2 linked regions of the Danio rerio genome follow. The protein of the gene in region 2 interacts with the protein of the main gene of each other region in a biochemical or structural test. Links are inferred from orthologs where the notes say so. Each region holds a gene or a part of one and is shown on either strand. Other genes may lie near its edges.

What was found.
Region 1: of the proteins of pdgfrb (region 2) and ptprja, one has a biochemical effect on the other in vitro, tested with the Homo sapiens proteins (2 studies listed by IntAct). The link is inferred for Danio rerio from reciprocal best matches to the Homo sapiens genes PDGFRB and PTPRJ.

Annotation. Positions count from the first base shown.
Region 1 is NC_133182.1:39,918,390-39,922,231, forward strand, and holds part of ptprja (receptor-type tyrosine-protein phosphatase eta precursor), read right to left. Parts: intron 2,187-3,842; coding exon 1,932-2,186; intron 1-1,931. UniProt on the Homo sapiens protein: Tyrosine phosphatase which dephosphorylates or contributes to the dephosphorylation of CTNND1, FLT3, PDGFRB, MET, KDR, LYN, SRC, MAPK1, MAPK3, EGFR, TJP1, OCLN, PIK3R1 and PIK3R2. Plays a role in cell adhesion, migration, proliferation and differentiation.
Region 2 is NC_133189.1:3,712,353-3,716,194, forward strand, and holds part of pdgfrb (platelet-derived growth factor receptor beta), read right to left. Parts: intron 2,673-3,842; coding exon 2,501-2,672; intron 2,360-2,500; coding exon 2,244-2,359; intron 1,154-2,243; coding exon 1,030-1,153; intron 1-1,029. UniProt on the Homo sapiens protein: Tyrosine-protein kinase that acts as a cell-surface receptor for homodimeric PDGFB and PDGFD and for heterodimers formed by PDGFA and PDGFB, and plays an essential role in the regulation of embryonic development, cell proliferation, survival, differentiation, chemotaxis and migration.

The sequences.
Region 1 (3,842 bases), on a different chromosome or scaffold from region 2:
ATTTCAGGATAAATGTAATTTTGGCTGCTGTCATCCACCAATGTGTACATTCACTTTTGACACTGGGTTAACTAACTGTTAAATATGGCTAATCTGACATTATGTTACATGCATTCAGCCTGTGTTTCTGTGCAAGAACATGTACAGTATACTTAAAAAAAACTTAGCTAAAAGAGAAAAAAAAACATTGAGTTTCTGCTGTGTATTGCGCTGGAATCTTAAACTGATAAAACGTAAAGCAAGTGAGTTTGTAGCATTAATTGTGAAAGAGTTGCTGTAAACTCTGGAGAAATGACCAAACTATTAAACTGTGATGAACACTAACACATAGTAACACACCAACAAATTGCTTCAGAGACCGTTTTTATGTCTTTTGCACGTGCAGGTTTTTTTTTAAAAACCCTCCTATCCTTAGTGCAAATTCTGTTTATATACAGTTGAAGTCAGAATTTTTAGCCCCCCTGAATTATTAGCACCCCTGTTTATTTTTTTCCCCTATTTCTGTTTAACGGAAAGAAGATTTTCTTAACACATTTCTAAGCATAATAGTTTTAATAACTCATCTCTAATAACTGATTTATTTTATCTTTGCCATAATGACAGTAAATCATATTTAACTAGATATTTTTCAAGACACTTCTATACAGCTTAAAGTGACATTTAAAGGCTTAACTAGGTTAATTAGGTTAACTAGGCAGGTTAGGGTAATTAGGCAAGTTATTGTATAACGATGATTTGTTCTGTAGACTATCAGGAAAAAAATTGCTTAAAGAGGCTAATAATTTTGACATTAAAATGGCTTTTAAAAAACTAAAAACTGCTTTTATTCTAGCCAAAATAAAAACAAATCAGACTTTCTCGAGAAGAAAAAATATTATCAGACATACTGTGAAAATTTCCTTGCACTGTTAAACATCATTTGGGAAATATTTTAAAAAGGGATAAAAAATCAAAACGGGGCTAATAATTCTGACTTCAACTGTGTGTATATATATATATATATATATATATATATATATATATATATATATATATATATATATATATATATATATATATATATATATATATATATATATATATATATATATATATATTTATATTTATATATATATACCCTTTTTGGAGAGAAACTATAGACTGTATAACTGCGGGCTAACTATGTTTATTTCTTCCCTATACACAACTCCTTACCTTTTTTGATATTGACTGTAATGTGATGATGTGCACCTTTTATGAAGCTGCTTTAAAACAATAATTATTATGAAAAGCGATACACACTTGAAGAACTTAATAAATTAACTTAAAAAATTGTAATAATAAAAAAAATCATCGGGTCAATTTAAGACCCCTTTAAGACCATCAAGAATGAAATTTTAGACTTTTACAGGGATAAGATGTTTTGAATGGTCTTGTATTATCGTGAGGAATCGTGTAATTGCTTTAAGTTTATTTTTCCCTGATTAAGGAAATTATTTGAGGAATTTGCTGTAAAAATGTCTAACAGCTGTTGTGAATTATCTCTTTGCTATAAAAAAAATTATAGAAAAATAAAAAATTGGATTTTATAGGGATGTGTTGGTCATTAGATGGATATCAGCCCAAATTGAGTAGCTTTACTTGGACAAAGCAAAATTAAGACCTGTTTAAAACAATTTAAGACCTACAACACAATATATCATTAAATTTTTATAAATTTTTAGGACTTTTTCAGACCTGAAGTTAAGGTTTTGAAATTTTAGACAGTTTAAGACGTTTTTACACTGAAGGTACATGATTTGCATCTGGAAAAATAAATAAAAATCTTATTCATTTTTCTTTGTGGTTCTTGTAATTGAAGTGAACTGATGTCTATACACAACTAATAAAATCTCATTTATAGCAAGAAAGTCGTTAATACGATTAATCATGAATAATTGCAAACTGCTTACTTGTAAATGCAGTGAGACTCTTAGAAGAGCTTGAGTAATTCATTGCACCAACAGTCCACATGATGATGTTGTATGGGAAACCAGCATTGAGGCCTGTCAGAGAGGTGTAGTTTTGGCTGCAATTTATGAGAGTGCTGTTGTTGTATTGCAAGAGAAAGTAGTAAGATACTGAGCTCATGTTGAGTGGTTGAGCCCAGCTGATGTTCAGTGTGTTTGTGCTCTGCGTTGTGCTGATCTCGCCAGGAGGAGTAGGAACTGAAATGACAATGTAATCATAGGTGTGATACAAACATAGACAAACATATTTCCTGATGCAAGCATAATTTTTCAGATGTTATCAATCGGACTGGTGTCTTTTTAAAACACACCAGTAAAGAGGTGTAGAAAGTCACATTATGTCTCTGCACACAAAATATTTTTTTCCAGTTACCTACAGTATGACAAGCCATTGAAGTACAAAGTATTCCCTAGTGTTACTAATTGTAATTGCATTTTTGAATATTAGGAATTAAATTGGGGAGCTTAAAAAAAAAAAAAAAAAAATATATATATATATATATATATATATATATATATATATATATATATATATATATATATATATATATATATATATCTCCGAGGAGGGGAACTTCAATGCTAAGAGTATTGAAATGCCAAATGAATTGGCAGCGTAAGCTTGCGCACGTGTGCCTCATTGCCCATTAGCTCCGCATATAAGCACAGGGAAGCAAGGAAACGCCATCCTTTTAAGCTGAAGAGACTGACGCTTACAGCTAAGGAACAACCATTATGGCGATGCTATATAGCATTTCTGTTCCCCTCCTCGGTCCGATTGAATCATAATAATAACCTACACTGCTTCAAAATCATAGAACAGGAAGAGCTAGATAAAATTATAAATAGCTCTAAACCAGCTACGTGTATGCTGGACTCAATTCCAACAAAATTACTGAAAGAGCTGCTACCTGCAATAGGAGAGCCTCTTCTTAACATTATCGACTCTTCTTTATCTATAGGCCATGTTCCAAACTCTTACAAGCTAGCTGTTTTTAAGCCTATTATTAAGAAACCGCAACTGGACCCCAAAAACTTAGCTAACTATAGGCCTATTTCAAATCTTCCATTTATGTCTAAAATACTAGAAAAAGTTGTTTCTACTCAATTATGCTCCTTTCTGCAGATGAACAATATTTTTGAAGTGTTTCAGCCAGGTTTCAGGGCTCATCACAGTACAGAAACCGCATTAGTGAAAATAACCAATGATTTACTCTTAGCTGCTGACCGAGGGTGCGTCTCGCTATTAGTTTACTTGATCTTAGTTCGGCATTCGACACCATTGACCACAATATCCTCATAAATCGCTTAAAGTCTACAGGTGTCCAGGGACAGGCTCTATAATGGTTTAAGTCATACTTAACTGACCGTTAGCAGTTTGTGAATATTAATGGACAGCCTTCACAAGTCAGCCCAGTAAAGTATGGGGTGCCTCAAGGATCAGTTTTAGGCCCTTTGCTGTTTACAATTTACATGCTACCTCTGGGAGACATTATTAGAAGACATGGGATCAGCTTTCACTGCTATGCAGATGATACTCAATTATATATTTCAACTAAACCTGACGAGACGTCTCAACTGTCTAAACTAACTGAGTGTATCAAAGACATTAAAGACTGGATGACCAACAGTTTTCTTCTCCTAAACTCAGACAAAACAGAATTATTACTTATTGGGCCTAAATCTTGTACACAGCAGATCTCGCAACTCAATTTACAATTAGAGGGATACAAAGTTAGCGTTAGCTCTACTATAAAACATCTTTGTGTCATATTAGACAGCAATCTAACTTTTGAAAACCATATATCCCATGTCACAAAAACTGCTTTTTGAGAAATATCGCTATATTACGAA
Region 2 (3,842 bases):
ATAATTTATTAATCCATCCATCCATGCATCTATCCATCCATCCATCCATCCATCCATCCATCCATTCATCAATCCACCCATCTATATATCATCCATTAATACATCCATCCATGCATGTAACAATCCATCCATCCATCCATCCATCCATCCATCCATCTATCTACCTGTCTGTCTGTCTGTCTGTCTATCCTCCATCCATCCATCCATCATCCATCCATCCATCCATCCATCCATTCATATATCATTCTTTAATACATCCATCAATCCATCCATCCATCAATCTATATATCATTCATTTATACATCCATCCATGAATCCATCTACACATAATTTATTAATCCATCCATCCATGCATCTATCCATCCATCCATCCATCCATCCATCCATCCATCCATCCATCCATTCAATACTATATCCATCCATTCATCCATTCATCAATCCACCCATCTATATATCATCCATTAATACATCCATCCATGCATGTAACAATCCATCCATCCATCCATCTATCCATGTATACATCCATCCATCAATCCATCTACATATCATTCATTAATCTATTCATCCATCCATCCATCGACCCATCCATCCATCCATCCATCCATCACTATACTAACTTGTCCATTTGACTAAATATTATCCATCTATATACAATATTATCCATTAATAAATCCATTCATCCATATATCCATACACCCATCAATCCAACCATCCATCTACAAATGATCTATTAATAAATTGATCCATTCATCTATGTATCTATTCATTCATTCATCTATTTCTCCATCAATCCATTTATCCATCCATCTATATATCATAATTAATACATCCATCCATCTATATATCATTCATTAATACATCAGTCTATATATCATCAATTTATTCAGCCCTCCATCTATTCATTCATCCTTCCATCCATCCATCAGCAAAGAAACCAATTTAAACCCTAAAAAATTCACTGATACTAATTTGATGATAATGATGATGATGTTTATGAAGATGATGATGATGATGATGAAGTGTCATCACCTGGTCATGCTGTCGCAGCTGAACCACTGAATGCTGGGTTTGGGCACTCCTTCTGCCACACAGGTCACTGCGTGCTTCTTCTCCGGCAGGTGATGATCTGACAGCTCCGTTATCTGAGGAGGAACTGCAGAAGCAGACAAAAGATCTTCACATGAAAACCTCACTCAATAAACCAGACGGGTGAACAACAATTAATTCTTTAAAAATATAAATAAATATGTCATTTTTAAATACAAATAAGAAATATCACAGTCATAATTTAATAGTTAATTAAAAATACTATTGATACCAAACAAATATATGTTGATCAATTTATTCTAAAATGTTTTTAAATATATACATATTTATAACATGCATAATTTATTATAACCAAATTAAATGTTAAATAATAAGGTAATTTAAAAAATGTCATATTATTGCAGAAATTAATTAAATAAAAATCCAACTTAGTTTTCTTTTTTGTTCAGTAAATAAAAATAAAAAATATATATTTTTTATAATAAAATAAAACAATAAAATAAAATAAAATAAAATTAAATTAAAAGCTTTCTTTTGAGGGGTGGCTTGTGATGTAGGGAGATTTATTCATATTTATTCATATTTATTTTTATTTTATTTTTTATTTTTATATTATTATTTTTATTATTTATTCATATAATTTTTATTTAACTTATTTGACGAAAAGATAAAAAATATAATAATAAAAAATATAAAATATAATAAAATTAAATTAAAGTCTTTTGAGTGATGGCTTGTGATGTAGATAGGTTTATCCATATTTTATTTTTATTTTTATTATTATTTATTATTATTATTTTTATTATATTATTATTTTATTATTTATTCATATCATTTTTTTACTTATTTGCCAAAAAAAAATAAAATAAATAAATTGAATTAAATTAAATTAAAGTCTTTTAAAGGGTGGCTTGTGATGTAGGCGGTTTATTTATACTTATTTTTATTATTAATATTATTATTGTTATTATTATATTAATTTATTATTTATTTCTATAATTTTTATTTAACTTATTTGACAAAAAATTAAATAAAATAACTTTCACAGTAGTTTCAGTGGCTAATAATAAAAGTTAACTGGTTCCGCAGTATTCCTGGCAGCTGGTATTATTCTTGCTGCTTCCCATCTTAAACCAACATGGGTGTCTATTTTCAGGAAATGGGGTGGTGTGTAAATGGATGTTGAACCGTCTCACCTTTCACCTCTAGGTCAAAGATCATCTCTTTGAGGGCGTCTTCATTTTGGACGGTGACTTTGTAGAGACCCATCTGCTGCAGTCGAGTTCTGACCAGGGTCAATGTGCTGACAAACCTGCAACGCATCCAGTGCTGCATCAGTGTCTGTTTATATATATATCTCTGTTAAATCTCTGCTGATCTTCAAGCAGAGAGTAAATCTGCATTTGCTTTCAGCCTCTGAAGAAGAGTGTGAGTATTTGAGGGTCATGAATACCTCGTTTCGTGCTCCTCCCTCATGCTGTGTCCTCTGATAACAGCACCGTCTTTCCTCCACTGGACTGTAGGTTTGGGATACGCCTCGATCTCCACCTTCAGCTCCACGTTTTCTCCGAGCTGCGCAGAGATGTTTCTGTCCAGAGGAGGAGTCAGAGACACAAAACCCTTCTCTGCAGACAGACAAAAAAAAAAAAAGATCACGTGTGGAATAATCAGTATTTGCTTCATTAACAAAATCTATATGAAATGTATAGATTAATAACAAACAAAACAGCAAGACACGACAAAAGTAAATTAAACTACATTTTCTGATTACTGCCAATTGCCTAGTGGTAAGTGTGTCGACATGTATTGTCATTGTGTTTTGCGCATCTTGATTTCGAATACTGGCTTGTGGACATTTCCCAACTCCATAATTCAAGATTATTTGTATAGCGTAGCGCTTTTATTTATTTATAGGGCATTAATACCATCAACCATTCCCATTTTATTAAGGTGCATCCATATAAATGGCCCACCCTGTACTATGACAATGATCGCCTCAGGTACTTATTATGAGCTTTATTCAGTATAAATGTAACCAGTAACCGAGTTTTAATACATTTTTGGCCTGACATTTATAACCATACTGAAAGCAGCAGCAGATAATTTACCTCAGAAAATGAAATACAAGTACAGTTTGAACATGAACGTTAGAGCTGTGAATATCACTACAGTTTCCATTTCCGCAGCAAAACAAGAGCATAAAATACTATGACAATGATCGCCTCAGGTACTGATTATGGGCATTATTCAGTATAAATGTCACCAGTATGAGTTTGAATACTATTTTTCCTGACATTTATAACCATACTGAAATTAACAGCAGATAATTTACCTCAGAAAATGAAATACACGTACAGTTTGAACATGAACGCTAGACCTGTGACTCTCAGAACAGTTTTTATGACCACAGCAAAACAACAGCATAAATTAATATGACAATGATCGCCTCAGGTACCGATTATGGGCATTATTCAGTATAAATGTAACCAGTATGAGTTTAATTACTATATTTTTTCTGACATTTATAACCATACTGAAATTAACAGCAGATAATTTACCTCAGAAAATGAAATACACGTACAGTTTGAACATGAATGTTAGAACTGTGACTATCAGTACAGTTTCGATTTCCGCAGCAAAACAAGAGCATAAAATACTATGACAATGATCACCTCAGGTACTGATTATGGGCTTTATTCAGTATAAATGTAACCAGTACGAGTTTGAATACTATTTTTCCTGACATTTATAGCCATACTAAAAGCAACAGCAGATAACTTAAATCAGAAAATGAA